3 linked regions of the Schizosaccharomyces pombe genome follow. The protein of the gene in region 1 interacts with the protein of each later gene in a pairwise test. Each region holds a gene or a part of one and is shown in the gene's direction. Other genes may lie near its edges.

The links.
Region 2: the proteins of atg11 (region 1) and zfs1 interact in a two-hybrid assay, tested with the Schizosaccharomyces pombe proteins (2 studies listed by BioGRID).
Region 3: the proteins of atg11 (region 1) and eso1 interact in a two-hybrid assay, tested with the Schizosaccharomyces pombe proteins (2 studies listed by BioGRID).

The regions. Positions count from the first base shown.
Region 1 is NC_003424.3:2,629,927-2,635,401, reverse strand, and holds atg11 (autophagy associated protein kinase regulator Atg11), read left to right. Parts: upstream 1-1,850; 5' UTR 1,851-2,032; coding exon 2,033-4,813; 3' UTR 4,814-4,954; downstream 4,955-5,475. Other genes in the region: protein ahk1, read right to left, coding at 1-1,191; SPOM_SPAC7D4.05 (hydrolase), read left to right, coding at 5,219-5,381, 5,417-5,475. UniProt on the Schizosaccharomyces pombe protein: Involved in cytoplasm to vacuole transport (Cvt), pexophagy, mitophagy and nucleophagy. Recruits mitochondria for their selective degradation via autophagy (mitophagy) during starvation.
Region 2 is NC_003423.3:3,482,315-3,489,456, reverse strand, and holds zfs1 (zinc finger protein), read left to right. Parts: upstream 1-2,010; 5' UTR 2,011-4,788; coding exon 4,789-6,003; 3' UTR 6,004-6,609; downstream 6,610-7,142. Other genes in the region: dynamin family GTPase Msp1, read right to left, coding at 6,848-7,142. UniProt on the Schizosaccharomyces pombe protein: Binds to specific AU-rich elements (ARE) in the 3'-untranslated region of target mRNAs and promotes their degradation. Binds to ARE present in the arz1 mRNA and stimulates the rate of arz1 mRNA decay.
Region 3 is NC_003423.3:4,276,331-4,281,669, reverse strand, and holds eso1 (mitotic cohesin N-acetyltransferase/DNA polymerase eta Eso1 fusion protein), read left to right. Parts: upstream 1-2,016; 5' UTR 2,017-2,078; coding exon 2,079-4,697; 3' UTR 4,698-4,781; downstream 4,782-5,339. Other genes in the region: ale1 (MBOAT family O-acyltransferase), read left to right, coding at 145-1,674; SPOM_SPBC16A3.12C (triglyceride lipase-cholesterol esterase), read right to left, coding at 4,782-4,919, 4,971-5,320. UniProt on the Schizosaccharomyces pombe protein: Probable acetyltransferase required for the establishment of sister chromatid cohesion and couple the processes of cohesion and DNA replication to ensure that only sister chromatids become paired together.

The DNA.
Region 1 (5,475 bases):
AGGTAATTCGAAAGAGAATTGCAAAGCTAAAAAAGAATGATAGCATGATAAAAACTCGAAAAAGAATCCACCTGTAGAAGACTTAAAGCGACGCATCCATGCTCGTGTGAATTCAATAGGCTGCCTATTGTAACCTATAGTAAAAGGCGTTGAAGTTCGTTTTGGGTAATACGGATGCATAGTCGAGGAAAATTGGTCAGTAAAAAATGGCGCAAGATACTTATGTGAAATAATCATTATTTTTTCGTCGAAGGATGAGCCCAAAGCATCAATGTACTTTTTCTTTACATCTAATGCGCTCAAGAAATGGTCGGCAAAAAGTGGAAGTTGAAAAAAGGAGAGAACCAAGATACTCGCACAAAATGTCGTTAATGAATACGGCAAGGACTTTTGAGAAAGCAGATGAACTACAAATGTCAATGTATCGTAAAGTATTAATTGGTGTTCCAAGTACAATAAAGCAGAGTGTTCCACTTTGTTCCAACAATGATGCTTGGCGATAGCAAGTATGGCCTTTGTATATGTGATACGTTCTGAAGTAGAAATATTAGATTGTAAACGTCGAAGAATGGATACCCACCAGTTATACAAAGAATGCCTAAGTTTATCCAATTCCGGTTCGGAAACGTTTTTAGTGGTTAAAGAAGCCAAATGTGGTAATAAAAACCCTCTTATAAGAACTACCTTATCAGAATCCTGCTGATTAATAAAATTGATGAATTGCTCGGATAAAGGACACTTTATTGGAGAAACCAGTGGCTCCGAAAGACGTAAGGTAGATTGGACGGCCTTATTTATTAAGCTAGAAGGCGCTATCTCCTCCGCATTAAGGCGTAGGCTTTGAGAAGACAACTGAGAAAAAGGAGAGGTAGAACGAGAAGAGGAATCAGAAGATGATGATGAGGGTGATTCGTTGTAAGGCTCATTTAAGATTGTTGAGGAATGGCTTACTAAAGTGTTTTCATATTTACCATAATCATCTGTAATCGAAAATGGTTCAAAGTTCGAATCAAGGTCGTCAGCTACAAGCACATTGGTTGTATCGACGGGATCATGTTCCTGAATACATTTTACCACAACAGGATAGTTTTTTGTTTGGGAACCCGAATGCTCTTCCTCTTTAAAGGAGGCTGTATTGGGAGGACCCATAATAGCGGCAAGGATCTCATATCGTGATTGAAAGTCACCCATTCAGAATTTCAGAAATGAAGCTAAATGTAAAGAAAAGAATAAGTGTGAAATGCAAATAAAAAGAATATAATTAATCCCTAGATTAAAACCAAATTAATTAACATGAGCCGTGCAATCACCACTAATAAAGAAATGAAGATTTAAAGGACAAGCTATGCAAATGCCAGAAAAAAATGTACCAAATATGCTAAAAGATGCTCAAAAGTTTTTCCTACAGTAGAGAAATTTTGACTTTTTTAATTTTTTAAAAACTTTATCGATAAAAGACAGAGAAATCGGTAACCAAAAGATTCGCGGTTAAAAAAACAAGAAAAATACTTCCGAGTTTAGAATACTTGTATTCTAAAAGAATGAAAAGTAAACAAGTAGAAGATATCTTTAAATTAAATATATGAAATCCGCAATGTAAATTAGCATCCCCAACACTTTCGTTCACACCCAGTGTAGATGCTTGGTTAAGGCTGAGTTTCCGAACCCACCAGCTTGAGGGTATACGGCTACATATGACATATATTTCAGTAGACAAACATAATAAAACCAATAATTAAAATTGTTTTTTTAAGCTAAATGAAAAGACATTTGAAATTTTAAGCTGTATTGTCTTACAGCTTCAACTCAGTGTTCATACAATGCCAATCTCCTTTTGGTAGTTAGTACCCAACAATCGCCTAAACCAAATAGAACCCGCCAACTTACCAAACAAAACGGAATATAAGGACAGAGAATAACTATATGCAACGGATTATAAATAACTGATATTGAGTTTTCTTTTAGATCAAATATTTCAAGTTTAATGTTGGGGAATCGCGAATGATAAAGTTAAGCAATACAATAGGTCAGTATGCGTTTTCGATTGAATGATTCATTCTCCGGAAAGAGTTGGACCATAGATAATGTACAATGGACTCCCCAAAATCTTGTAGCTTGGATTATGGAGCTCAATATTGGACTTAGTGATGAAGCAAAACTATTATTGCCGAACGGAATGTCTTTGAATGAAACCGTACTAAATAGTGAAAGTGATGTGGTTATTTACGTACTAGATCAAAACTTGTTGACTTTCACCTACGATGGTGATAAAATTCCTTCTATTCCTTCTCTGAAAGGACAACCAATATCTAATGTACTTACTGGGATTATAGCTGATTCTTCTTCAGATCAATGGAAAGATAAAATCAGCAAGTGTCTTTCATTATTATCTGATATTTTAGAGTCTTCTTCAAAGATTCATAATCAATTAAGCGTATGCCATGATGAGTATTCTACTAGTATTGTTTCTCCAGAAGTTGCAATGAATTATTTACAAAGAAGACAATCTGGTATGAAAGATTTACTTTTCGTTTTCTACGAAAGACTAGATCGAGTATCTGTGTCTGATTTACTTCATGATTTCCTCGCTCTACCAACTGGTTCTTTACCCATTACTCCTCTTAAAATACTTTCAACAAATTGGACTAAATTGGACTCCTGGTTAAACTCCATTTCAGCTCGTTATGCTGAAGCTCAAAAACGAGTCCAACAGTGCATTGGCGCCGCAAATAGTATTATCGTTTCCCCATTCAAGGAAGTTCCTTCAATCAAGGAAGGAGATGATGCTTATTATCATCTACGTTCCGTCGCTCAGGATGCAGCCAATATATTGCAAGAGATCCTTAAAATAGAGTCAACTTCAACTACTTCTCAAATCAAACCAAAATGTAATTACGAAACCGAAATTACTGATTGCATGGAAAAACTTCAAAGTAATCTGTCGGAATTAAAAAGTTCTAGAAAGTCATCACTAATATCTTTGAAATCTTTTTGGCTTTCCTTTTATAAGGTTTCTCTTAGATATGATGCATTGTACGAATATCTTCGACAAATAGCAGAAGAGCTTGACAGAAGCAAATTCGTTCTTTCTCAGTCTCGAAACATTTTTTCGCTATATATCGACATTTTAATGGAGGCACTGAGGAGGACTGAATGGCAGGAATCATACAATGTAAGCCATGATAGTTCTCTTCCTTTAGACCAGGAGAAGGAGCTTTCTCTTAGGAAGTCTTGGCTCAGTCATTTCTCTAATTTGCTTTTTAATCATGGCCAGCTAAAGTACTTACCAGTTTTAACTCGTGACGAAATTTCTAATTATTTACTCAATATTCAAGCACATCCGAATTACCAAACTTTTCATCAAATGCTAAGCAATCGGCTCTCAGAATATTTGGGCTTTCCTGGAAGTCCTCGAGAAGCCGTTTCCAATACGGTTCAAGCGAACAATTCATTACATGAAAAATTGGCAATGTATCAAAATCGTTGCAATAATTTAGAGGCAATGTTAAGCCATCAAAACGGCTTTAATTATAACATTAACAATGATGGTTTATCTCCAAATGCTCCACATCCACCCATCAATGAGCAGTCTAATTCTTCTCAGCCATTTTACCGTGTTTCCCCTAGTATTGTGCCTCTAAACGTAATTCGTAAATTAACTAATCGCAAAACTTCTTTTACCGACAGCCACATATTACGACTTCAAGATGAGGTTAATCAATTACGCAACGAATTAGATTTGGTAAATAAAAGAAATGAGGACTTATTAATTGAGCTTCAAGGGAAGGAAGAAAAGATCCAATACCTCGAAACTGAAAATGAGGAAGTGCTACAAAAATACGAAAATTTACAGGAGGAACTTTCATCAACACGGAAACTGCTTACGAAAAATGAAGCGGCAGTTGCAGAACAGCAATCAAACGAGGAGATGCATTCTAATGAACCGAACATATTAAACCTTTACTCCGTATTTGAGGGCAAAGTTGATAGCTTGCAAGAACTTTATAATGCTTTCAAGCTTCAACTCACGAGTTTGAAGCAAAAGGGCGAATACGCTACTCTTGCAAAAGATGCCGAAGCAGTACAACATATTATTGAAGAGAGAGATTATGCTCTTGCAGAGAAAGCTGATTTACTCAAACTTTCCGAGAATCGAAAAGAACAATGTAAGATATTAACTCAGAAACTTTATACCATTGTATTCCGGTGTAATGAGTTACAGTCTGTTCTTCGGGAATGCGTTACTCAGCCTGGATTTGATTCAGATAACGAAAGAGATGGCCATGCATCGATTCCAGATCGCCAAATTGAATTTAATTCCAAAGATTTACAGTATCTTTATTGGATGGATGGGGAGGATGCTGATAGGAATTTCCAGGAATTTTTGAACAGAATGAGTTCTTTAGATTTTGACTCTTTCCATAACTTTGTTGTCAGTGTTTTGACTCAAGCACATAATCATGAACTTCGTTGGAAACGTGAATTTCAATCTAACAGGGACAAGGCGCTGAAAGCTATTTTGGACTCTCAAAGTAAAGTCTCATTAAGGAATTTCAAACAAGGATCCTTGGTCTTGTTTTTGCCTACTCGACGTACCGCCGGTAACAAAAAGGTGTGGGCGGCTTTTAATGTTAACGCTCCTCATTATTATTTGAACACTCAACCGCATTTGAAACTTGAAAGCCGCGACTGGATGTTAGGAAGGGTAACTTCCATTGAAGATCGTACTGCTGATGATTCGACGGATAAATGGCTTCGCCTGCCTTCAGGTACAATATGGCATTTAGTGGAAGCTATCGATGAAAGATTTTAAATCATTATGTGACCTAGCTTATACCTTCACTTGCTTTTTCTTTGCTTGTATTTGTGGGACTGATTCTATATGACAGACATTTGGTATTATCATACTTCTATTTTTTCAGGTTTTGATCTGTTATGGCATTATTTACTGAAATTTGTTTTTTGGTCTCGCCTAGTAAGGTATCCGACGTAAATTAACGACTACTATTGCTGTAGCGTGTCTCTCGTCTTGTAACATGATAAATTTTTAATGAACTTTTAATCTATTCGTATATTATTTAATATGTAGAACGCAATCGCTCGCAATAAAAGTGATTTGCAAATATTATTTATCACACCGAACAACGCACTGGTGGTAAGGAGTACCTTATGTAAATTGCTTTGTGTAGTGTGTCCCATCAAAGTACAACCTGGAATTATGATTCCCTCAAAAAATATCCAAAAGATCAAGTTGGTTACGTTCGATGCTTTTGGAACAATCCTTCATTTAAGTAAACCTGTTCCAATTGTGTACAGCGAAGTCGCTCAGAAGTATGGAGTTCATGCAACTATTGATGAAATTGAACACAATAGTAATAAAGGTTAGCTTTTGGTTTCTATTTATCTAATAATTTAGCATTCAAGGATTTCAGTGAAAAGCATAAGAATCATGGAAAAAAGTCAGGATTAAATCCT
Region 2 (7,142 bases), on another chromosome or scaffold:
TATTAGTGATAGGTAACATTATAACCCAGTTAATACAATACCTATACTCAGTTGCTACTTATACAACCTGTGTATTGTAATATAATAGATCACAAGGAAAACTCACCGCAGTTCTACGTATCCTTAAATCAGATACCAAACTGCGTAGCTTACAGTATAATAAATAACAGATTATTCCGTTACACAACACATTATTGACTAAACTTCCGTATATGAATTGAGTGTACGTTTTCACCATCATCAGTCAGTTCATTCGGTCGATACGCATGTGGCATGAATTTACCAGTTTTACGTGTTTCGTACAATGACAATTTGTGATTGCCGGTTTTGATGAATTCATCATGATACGATGGATTTGCTTCACTAGCAACGCCTATATGTTTAAAATGAAGACACTTAGGTCTAGAAATCTCTGTTTTTCTGTTTTCTGTTAAATCATTTTACCGAGAATAAAGGGGTATGTATGATGGATGGGGTACTTTCAATTCTTTGCTTTTCCTCGACCCACTGTAACCCAAGCAACATGCTAAAGAAAGCGAATCGGCCGTTTTCTCGATTTGAGTAGTATTATCATTGTTATTATAATTTGATATTTTAATATTGTTTTACTAGCAAGATCAACTTCCCTTTGTTCTTTTACATAGCGCAATTCCTCCTAGCTGAACACCTGACCGACCCCTTAACCCCTCCTCGTTCTCCCTTTGCCAAAATAAAAAAAAATAAAAAAAATAAAGAAAATATCAATAAATAATTTAATAAAAATTTTTTTTAAACAAAAATAGTTTTGAAACCCAAAATTAGGTAGACTATCTTTTGTATCATGCCGTAATTCGTATTCTCCGTCGTGTTTGCCAAAATTCAATCATCACTCAGATACTGTCAATAATAGCTTTTATATTTCAAATTATTCATCAATTTCATTTGTACTTTATTCATTTATTCCATTTTTCAACTTTTATTTAGATATCCTTACTCTTGTCTTTTTTACGTTTGTTTATGTCTTTTTGATGGATGGTTCTTGCAACTCGTTTTGCCATCTCCATCTCCCGCTGCTACTCTAAGCAAAAGCATTGCCGATGCATAACAACGCCTTCCGTAATTTTTATTAGTCCTCCGTATGACCACATTTGTCTGTAGTAAAAATGAGCTGTCCAGTCGAGAACTCCAGCTTCGTATGCATGCTTCCGGATCCTATCGTGCTCAAAGACCATCCCGCTATCTTACTTTACAATGTAGATTTGAACACGCCCCAGTGTGGAGGTAAACTTTCTGGGCCTTTTGAGCAATGGTAAGTACGTGTCTTCCGTTCATTATCCCAATCAGCTACAATTTATCGCCAATACTCTCCAATGAATGGAAGAACAATTACCAAACAAACACTGGGGATTGTGCCCACAGTAGATTGCGTGTAGAAGGGATAACAAACATGCTATTGCCATGCATGCATCTACACCAAGGAAATTAGAAAAAAATTTGTTCAAAAACGAAAAACTATTCTTTTTGATAATATGTGTAAAAATAAAATAAAATAAAATAAAATAAAATAAAATAAAATAAAATACCAATACATTTTGTTTCATATAGAATATAGAACTGCTCATAAATTAAAAAATAGCCTGCATCAAAAAAATTTATTCCAATTCCCTCGTCTTTACCTAAAACAACTAATACTGTACTACTTTTTTTAAATCGCATTCCTTTAGAGCACGCACTTTTCGAACCAATACACCGCCATTCTATGCAATGCTTCCCCTTTCCCTATTGTAATTCTACCGATAATTTTATTCTCGGAGTTGTTTTATGACTTTCTAATTTACTTTGTAAATTTTTCTTTTTTTGAAAGCTCCTCCATCTGTCCTTGCTCACGTTTGCCATCTTTCCATTTCAACACTGTAGTGTACTGCGCCACAACATCCGCACTGAGTGTCTTTTGCACATACCACTGATTTTACCGACATTCCCCACTTTTAAACAACTTGTAAGCACAGGGCTTGTTGAGTCCATCAACTTGCTCTTTCGACATCTTCTAGGTCGTTGACTTTACGTAGTATAAAGTGGCATTGATGCTCGAACACAATTAACTAATCTTAACACATTGATAATTGGTTTCTTTGTGTTTTAAACAAAAAAAAATTTCATCTCTTTTGTTGTCCCATATATATATTGATTGCGTGTAACCTTGAAATAACCTCAATTTCTGTACCGGGGTCGTTGCGTATCGAAACACTATTGTTATCGTCCTAGCATATTTGGATACTGTGTACTACACTATTGTCGTGCTCTCTTTTACTTTACTTTACTCACTTTTCCTTCCTTCTTGCCCGACACGACATTGAAACTGCTGGCTTCCTAGCCTTGCTCCTCCTTTTCGACCGGACCTGCTACGTGCTGTAAATTGATTAATCGTATACAATTGTGGTTTTTGACAATTTTCTTTTATTCTGTCGATTTTCTCTTTTTCTCTTATCACGACTTTCTGCTTCTCTTCTACAATATTTTGCTAATCGGCTTGTGTTGTATCAACAGCAAAGCTAAGTGACTTGACATTACTAGAATTCTTCCTTTCCTTCAAAAACACGTGCAAGTTTGTTCCATTTTAATATCTACGTTTCCTTCCTTGATTGCACTATTTCATCATTAGAGGGAACCACTTTTCTATATTACCAAGCACCTACTTATTTGGGATTTATTTATTTTTATTTCCTACGGCTAACTCGATTACGATTAGTGCGCGGCTTTTTCTCTTTGGAAAAATTTTTCTTGTTGGAACGGTTGTCAATCGCGTGCTATATTGCTTTCCTTCTTACCCGTTTACAATTTAGCTTTCCCTTTTCTCCTTTTGCAATTTTTTTTGGGTTTTTTTTAAAACGTACACACGCACTGTGTATTCCATCTAGCCATCAATCCTTCATTTTTTTTCCACCGATTAATCCTTTTCTATATATACCGGAATTTTCCGTCTTTTCTTTTTCGGACACTTTTACGAGCTGTTGCGAATTTCGTTATTCTTAGTTTGTGTTATTTGCTTTTAGCCGCCCTTTTTCTTCTTCTCTGCATCAACATAACAGGTCAGGGACCAGACAGGACAGGACGAAACAACAACGTAATCGTTCAACCAACTTCTATTACCATCGACCTCTAACTTACCGACTTACCACCACAACACTTTCCTCCAGAATAGTTGAAAGCCTTTTGACTTTGCTGAATCTTTCTTTGTGTGTCCGTGTGTGTGTCTGTTTTTTTCAAATTCATCACTGTTTGAATATCGGCATCTCATCCTTTTTCTCAATTTCTCAATTTCTTGCCTGAGATACCGTTTGTTCTTTCCGTTGAATACTTTTTTTCTGCAGTGTGAAAAAATTCCGTTTTACGTTGACAAAACATTTATCTCGGATTGAAAGTTGTTTTCGTAGCTGTTTGTTTTAGTCTATTCCTTTCAACCGGTTTTCTTGTCTCTGTTAGATTTGTTTTCTCTTCTTCATTCTGAGTCAAGCTCTGGGTTTTTTTCTTTGTTGGAAAACCATTCTCTTTTCAATTTTATTTCTCTTTTCTGATATCGAAGCAAAAGAGCTCCTAAACGCTCTCAATTACTGTTTAACGTAACAGATATATTAACATCTTAGTATATTTGCGTTTTATTTGTTGAAACTTTCGCATATCCCCTTAAAGCTTTTTGTGGCAATCCTTATCTGATATTGATTTATTCTTTTGATTCGCCATTTCTTTCGACGTTTTTAAAGTACTCTAAAAGAGAAATTATTTAAAATACTTTAAATTGGGCTCTGTTCTTTTCTCCATCCCACTTTTGTATCTTTGCAGCAATAGTCGGTTTGGTTGATAATCCCTATATTTCTTTGGACAAGATATTATCTTTTGCTGAAAAAACACCCCATCTTTCGATTTTGAAATTTTTTTTTCTGTTTCAATTTCTTATTTCTTTCTACTGATTACTCTCCTCATCAATTCTCACTCTTTTTTCATTTCAAATCTCGCTTTTATCCTATATCAGTGATAAAACTCCTGTTTGATGCTCACCTTGCACATTGGCACTAACTTTAACGTTTTCCCTTTATATCCGCAAATTCCCTTTTTTTTGTGCTTCGTATATTAAAAGCGTTCCCTTATTAGGTTTTTTTATACATTAAGGATTTACGATTAGTCTCATTTTGTTGTGTTTTGAGATTTGTGTTTTATGTTCATCTGTTGTATTCACTTACTTCAGAGAAAAAAAAGGCGTTTTTGTTCTTTTGGTTTAAATTTTATTCCCTAAAATTTGCATTCAACTCGGATTTTTTCTTTGTTTGACGACTGTTTTTTGAAAAGGATTGCTTTGGGTCACAAACACAATACATCCATCTATTAAACTTTTGTCTTCTATACTTTTACTTCCTTCTCAAAATCTTTCCTTATATCATTGTGTGGTTTCTCTCCGTTTTCTTGTATCTTTTCTGTTCGACTTCTGAAAAAACAGCGTCTCTATACTATTGATTTTCATCTTAAATTTGCGTGTTTTCTTTTTAACTCTACGTTTCTCTCGTTTTTCTGCATATTACTTTCGGTGATTACCCTGTAATTCTATTTTGAAGGTTGACGTTTTTTTCAAGTTCCTGATTCCATAATTCTATTTAACACAAGTTTTTTACTGGAATTTTTTAAGTTATTCTGCGCAACCTTTTTTTGATTCATTTTACAACTTCTTTGTTCGTTTATAACTAATCTTCTATTGTATCACTTTTTTCTAGTGAACTTCATTAATTTATTGCGTGTCTGTTTTTTATTCTTTTAACCATGGTTTATTCTCCTATGTCTCGACCTCAAGTACCTCTGGCTTTTCGCCAATGGCCCCCCTACAATTATAAGAGTGATCCCCTTGTCAACTCAAAACTATCTCAGTCTACTACGTCTGTTAATGCAGGACCCAGTTTAATAAGTCCATCATTCCTTGACTCCTACGCCAACTCCTCATCTTTACTTCACAAGCCATCTACAAATTTGGGCAGTTTAAAGACATCTAGTCTTCTCGCCTCTGATGAAGTTTTCCCTTCTTCAGTCATGCCCCAGCTTCGTCCATTGGATTCAAGTTTATCTGTTTCTCCTGAAATGGACGGTTGGCCATGGCATCACAATTCTTCTTCTAACCCACAGGGATACGCATGGACACCTTCATTACTTTCTTCCAACGCTACTAGCTATTTACATTCTGGTAGTTCTCCTCATGGAAACACAAGCAATCATCCTTCACCTATATCATCCTTGGAGAGTCTTCCTTCTCGTAGTAGCACTGGTAGTGGTAGTCTTGATTTTTCCGGCCTTGCCAATCTCCACGATGATTCCAAATCACTGGCCATGTCTTTGAACATGGCTGGCGTCCCTGTATCCGTCGATGAGAACTCTCAAACTTCGTTTCCTTTTGTTCATGGTCAACCGGAATCTACCATGTCTAGAAAACCTAAGCTGTGCGTTCAATCGAAATCAATGACAAACATCCGCAACTCTGTTGCTAAACCGTCGTTAGTTAGACAATCGCATTCAGCGGGGGTTATTCCCATCAAGCCTACAGCATCGAATGCCTCAATTCGCAATGCTCCTTCCAATTTATCAAAGCAATTTTCACCTTCGGGTAATAGTCCTCTTACTGAGGCTTCCAAACCTTTCGTTCCTCAACCATCAGCTGCAGGAGATTTTCGCCAAGCTAAGGGTTCAGCTAGCCATCCTCATGGTTCTGGCAGTAGTAATGGGGTAGCTCCCAACGGCAAGCGCGCATTATATAAGACCGAGCCTTGCAAGAATTGGCAAATTAGTGGAACTTGCCGTTATGGCTCTAAATGTCAATTTGCGCATGGCAACCAGGAACTGAAAGAACCTCCTCGTCACCCAAAATACAAAAGCGAGCGTTGCCGATCTTTCATGATGTATGGTTATTGTCCTTACGGATTGCGATGCTGCTTTTTGCATGATGAATCCAATGCTCAAAAAAGTGCAACTATTAAGCAATCTCCTTGATATCACATCAGCTTGTATAAGATGACTTTTGTTCTTTGTTGTTATGCAATCTGGGTGAGATTAATTTATTATGACGCTTACTTTCCTATCCTCCTTGGTTTTCTTATACGGTTATTATTTATATTGTTCTTCTGTAACATTATGTGAGCTTTTCTTTTGCAATCGCCTTTACCTTGTTTTTATTTATGGTTTTATCGCAAGGTTTGAGTTTGCCAGTCATGTTCACACTTTATTCTTTATTTATTTGATGACCTTATTGGTCAAGATAGAATTTATAAGAGAAAAAAATTAAAGAAGATCATGAGTTAGTTACTCTGTCATATGTCAGGGTACTGTTTTTATTTTTGCAAATCATGTACCTTTAGCTTTTTGCAGAATGGCGATTTAAAGAGTTATGAGAAGATTGGACAATATATATTTATAGTATTAAATTCGAATCTTGTTTACTTCGTCTAGCAATGCGATACGCATGAATCGGGGTTTTATTAGATTTGTGTGGTATCTGTAATATACTGTTATAATTCGAATCAAGGGAGTTTCTTAAAATACCCAATCTTATTACGAAAATGATTTATGCAATCAGGGAGATTTGATGAGCGAAGCCTATGTATTATTTGAATAACAGTAACGTTACTGCAAAAATTTAAGTAGTTATTTGAATGTTGTGCACTTTTCATAAACATAGATTTGCAATATGCATCAAAAATTTGTAACGCAATTCTGTACTGCTTACAAACAATTTTATTCACGAGAAAACTACCAGGCTATACATAGTAACACATACAAGCATTTTTGGAAAGTTAGTTAAAAAAATTCATTAAACTCGGACTACTTTACTCGTTATTTAATCGCTATCGGCTTGCTGTTCCAAGATAACTAATGAATTGATCTTCTGCAGAGCCAATTCCAAACATTGCCGCTTATGCTGCAACTGTAGCTGTGACTTGAGACGAGGATTTTCATTGACAAATGCATTCAACTGTTCAGAACTCAAAGAATGGATGAGACGCTGATCCAGTTCACGTGGAAATTGGTAATAAAACTCAGAAAGCAGCTCAATATTAATAAATAAAACTGCGGTATTAACCAGTTTATCAGAAACGGCATTTAAAAAAATTTCAGGACAGGTGTACTTCGCT
Region 3 (5,339 bases), on another chromosome or scaffold:
CTAAAACTTCACCAACACCAAACTCTGGGTACAATCTTCACTGTACATTCGTGATTAAAGAATAATCGATTGTTGAGTGTTTAATATCAGTTGTTCAATTCAAAGGCATTCCCAAAGCAGGAGACAGTATTGTCTACATTAACAATGGCTTATCTTATTGATATACCATTTGAATACTTCTCTTCTTTCCTTGGAGTCCACCCGGATCAGCTCAAGTTACTGTTTTGTTTTCTTTCAGCATACCCGTTTGCCGGCATACTAAAAAGACTTCCTTCGGCTCCATGGATTAGAAACTTATTTTCAATAAGCATAGGTTTATTTTATCTCATTGGTGTTCATCATCTTTACGATGGCGTTTTAGTTTTGCTATTTGACGCTTTGTTCACATATTTCGTGGCCGCGTTTTATCGATCGTCACGAATGCCATGGATCATATTTATAGTAATCCTTGGCCATACATTTAGCAGCCATGTTATTCGGTACATTTACCCTTCAGAAAATACTGATATTACTGCTTCACAAATGGTACTATGTATGAAGCTTACAGCGTTTGCCTGGTCTGTTTACGACGGTCGTCTTCCTTCAAGTGAATTATCTTCTTATCAAAAAGACCGCGCGTTGAGAAAGATTCCTAATATCTTGTATTTCCTTGGATACGTATTTTTCTTTCCCTCATTACTTGTTGGTCCAGCTTTTGATTATGTTGATTACGAAAGGTTTATAACCCTTTCTATGTTTAAGCCTTTGGCTGATCCTTATGAAAAACAGATAACACCACACAGTTTGGAACCAGCCTTAGGTCGTTGCTGGCGAGGTCTGTTGTGGCTGATTTTATTTATTACCGGAAGCTCAATCTATCCTTTAAAGTTTCTACTTACACCTAAGTTTGCTTCCTCCCCTATTTTGCTAAAATATGGATACGTTTGCATAACTGCTTTTGTTGCAAGAATGAAATATTATGGCGCATGGGAACTTTCTGACGGTGCATGTATATTGTCAGGCATTGGTTATAATGGCCTGGATTCTTCTAAGCATCCTCGTTGGGATCGAGTGAAGAATATTGACCCTATTAAGTTCGAATTCGCAGATAATATCAAATGTGCTCTTGAGGCTTGGAACATGAATACCAATAAATGGCTTCGAAATTACGTTTATTTGAGAGTTGCAAAGAAGGGAAAGCGTCCAGGGTTCAAAAGTACGCTAAGCACATTCACTGTTAGTGCAATGTGGCATGGAGTTTCTGCTGGATATTATTTGACTTTTGTTTCCGCAGCCTTTATCCAAACAGTTGCAAAATACACGCGTCGCCATGTTCGCCCATTTTTCCTTAAACCAGATATGGAAACTCCTGGGCCTTTTAAGCGAGTCTATGATGTTATTGGTATGGTAGCAACAAACCTCTCTCTCTCCTATCTAATTATCTCTTTCCTTCTTTTGAATCTAAAAGAATCAATACACGTTTGGAAAGAGCTATATTTTATTGTGCATATATATATATTGATAGCTCTGGCTGTGTTCAATTCCCCAATAAGGTCGAAATTAGATAATAAGATACGATCCAGAGTCAACAGCTATAAACTAAAAAGTTACGAACAATCTATGAAATCCACTAGTGATACGGACATGTTAAATATGTCGGTGCCCAAAAGAGAAGATTTTGAAAATGATGAATGAAGGATTAATTTGCTATGAGGTAGCATCATATGCAATAAATTGAAGCATTTGAATATTTTGCAGCTTTGTTAACAGCAATTTCATCTTAATTGTTCATCATATACAATACCTTTCATGGCGGCAGTATATTCATTGTGTTTATATATATGTTTACATATTAAAGTAGTCTCTTAAATAAAATTCCTGAATGTTTTCTCTCAATTCAGTTTTTAAGTTTAACATCTAATTTCCTTTGATGATTTATTTTGGTTACAACATTATGAGAGTTTGAATTTATTTTGCTTTAGTATCTGGTAGTAGGTAACGTTGCTATATCTAGTACCTTAGTCCACTAAATTCAACACGAACGCGCTATAGAACTTGAGCGATTCTTATTAAAGAACTTTTTTGAGGGTATGAACTGAATGGAATTAGGCAAAAGCAAATTCTCTTGGAAGGACTTGCAATATTGTGATAAAGCAGGTACACAAAATTCACCGTTAAGGGTTGTAGCTCATATTGATCAGGATGCTTTTTACGCTCAAGTCGAAAGTGTTCGCCTAGGATTAGACCATTCAGTTCCCCTTGCTGTTCAACAATGGCAAGGGCTTATTGCTGTAAACTACGCAGCCCGTGCAGCGAATATTTCACGCCATGAAACAGTTACTGAAGCAAAAAAGAAATGTCCAGAGCTTTGTACCGCTCATGTAAAAACTTGGAAAGCTGGGGAGTCAGAGGCTAAGTACCATGAAAACCCAAATCCTAACTACTATAAAACCTGTTTAGATCCTTATCGGCACGAAAGCGTTAAGATTCTTAACATCATAAAGAAACATGCGCCTGTGGTTAAGAAGGCTAGTATTGACGAATGTTTTATTGAACTTACGAGTGATGTTAAACGGATTGTGTTGGAGGAATATCCTTACTTGAAAATTCCCTCTGAGGACTCAAATGTTGCTTTGCCGCAGGCTCCAGTGCTACTATGGCCTGCTGAGTTTGGAATGGTCATTGAAGAAGAAGTTGTAGATAGAACGAAAGAAGATTATGAAAGGGATTGGGATGATGTTTTTTTATTTTACGCTGCAAAAATCGTGAAAGAAATTCGCGATGATATATACTTGCAACTCAAATACACGTGCTCAGCAGGAGTTTCTTTTAACCCAATGCTTTCAAAGCTTGTCAGCTCGCGTAATAAACCAAACAAGCAAACTATTTTAACGAAAAATGCAATTCAAGATTATTTAGTGTCATTAAAGATTACTGATATAAGAATGCTGGGCGGAAAATTTGGAGAAGAAATAATTAATTTATTAGGAACAGATTCTATTAAGGATGTTTGGAATATGAGTATGGACTTTTTGATAGATAAGCTTGGTCAAACTAACGGTCCACTCGTTTGGAATTTGTGCCATGGAATTGATAACACTGAGATTACTACACAAGTTCAGATTAAATCAATGTTGTCGGCTAAAAATTTTTCTCAGCAAAAAGTGAAGTCTGAAGAAGATGCAATTAACTGGTTTCAAGTATTCGCATCTGATCTTCGATCACGATTCCTTGAACTTGAAGGAATGAGAAGGCCCAAGACCATTTGTTTGACTGTTGTATCAAGATTTCTGAGAAAGTCAAGGTCAAGTCAAATACCTATGAATGTTGATATTAGCACTCAGTTTATTGTTGAAGCAACATCCAAACTGTTGCGTCAACTGCAACAGGAATTCGATGTATATCCGATTTCAAACTTATCTATTAGCTTTCAAAACATCATAGAGGTTGATCGTAATTCTAGGGGAATTGAGGGTTTTTTAAAAAAGTCCAATGATGAAATCTACATGTCTACTTCTGTTTCACCTTCTATTGAGGGACGCGCTAAATTATTGAACGAAAATATGAGGGAAAATAATTCTTTTGAATTATCTTCGGAAAAAGATATAAAGTCACCTAAAAGGTTGAAAAGAGGTAAAGGTAAAGGGATTTTTGATATGCTACAACAGACCGCTGTTTCTAAACCAACGGAGAATTCAGCTGATGAAACTTACACGTGTGAAGAATGCGAACAGAAAATTACTTTATCCGAAAGAAATGAACATGAAGATTATCATATAGCTCTCTCCATTTCGAGAAAAGAACGCTATAATAACTTAGTACCGCCATCCCATGATAAACCTAAGCAAGTAAAGCCTAAAACATATGGAAGGAAAACCGGTAGCAAGCATTATGCACCTTTATCCGATGAAACAAACAACAAAAGAGCATTTTTGGACGCATTTTTAGGAAACGGTGGAAATCTGACACCAAATTGGAAAAAGCAAACGCCAAAAGCAATTTCCAACAGCTCAGACAACATGACCCAGTTACACTTAGATTTGGCTAATTCCACCGTAACTTGTTCAGAATGTTCTATGGAGTACAATTCAACGAGCGAAGAAGATATTTTGCTTCATTCTAGGTTTCATTCTCGGGTTCTAGGAGGTGTTACTGTGTCCTTTCAATGCTCTCCTATTTATCGCGTTAACTATGGTTTGAGTTCCGATTGCATATACAGCATAAATTCAGAAAGCTCATTAATTGATCAAAGAAAAGCAGAGGAAGCTTTATCTTTCGTAAATAACGAACTTTCAAGTGAGCCTATTGAAACAATTGGGGTAGATAAATATACCACATTTCTATTCATATCAGATAAGAAATGTGTCGGATTACTTCTGGCAGAGCGTATATCTTCTGCATACATAGTCGATGAACTTGAACTCAACAACAACAATAGCACCTCTTCCGCAGTATATATAAAAAACGAAAATCTACGAAAGGGGTTTGTATTGGGTATTTCCAGGATTTGGGTATCAGCTTCAAGACGCAAACAAGGGATAGCAAGTTTACTATTAGACAATGCTTTAAAAAAATTCATTTACGGTTACGTTATATCGCCTGCAGAAGTTGCTTTTAGTCAGCCTAGTGAAAGTGGTAAACAGTTCATTATTTCGTGGCATCGTTCTCGAAACAATGGTTCTTCGAAGTCACTTCGATATGCTGTTTATGAAAGTTGAAAATAGTCTGACAAAATTAAAGTTGTTCTAAATATCTATCTAAGCGTTATATAGAAGTTTTTTTTTTAAATTATTAATTAATCATTAATGAAAACCGTTTTGTTTAACGAAATGTTTGGCTTTGCCTAATGAATGATGCTTAAGGGCATCTATTACAACTGGGAACACTTCCTCTTTAACATCCTGGCCCCATAGAAAGTCAAGATGTTCATAATGAGCAATCTAACTTATATTAGCATATTGAGCAACAAACCTATAAAATAAAAGGCTTACCGAAACTTCCTTTGCATGGGGAGGAAGAGCAGTTCTCATTACTTCCATATTGATCAAAGTATCTTTACCTCCCCATAGTATCAGCATTGGGCATTTGATATTATTCGTAGGAAACAGAGGAACTTGGTAATGGCGTGAACCATATCCAGCTAGAAGAGCCATATCGTCGTCATAAAGCTGGAAAGTACAGTTTTTTATAATCTGAAGCCAGTGAACAACACTCTTTACACTTGAAAAAGAGTAAAGATGTGCATAACCGCAAAGTTTTTGATTAAGAGAAATGTTGGATAGGTCCCAGTTGAATAAAATTTTAAGGGATACATCGACAATTTTTACAAAAATTGGGGGATCTGTAGAGTAAGCAGATGA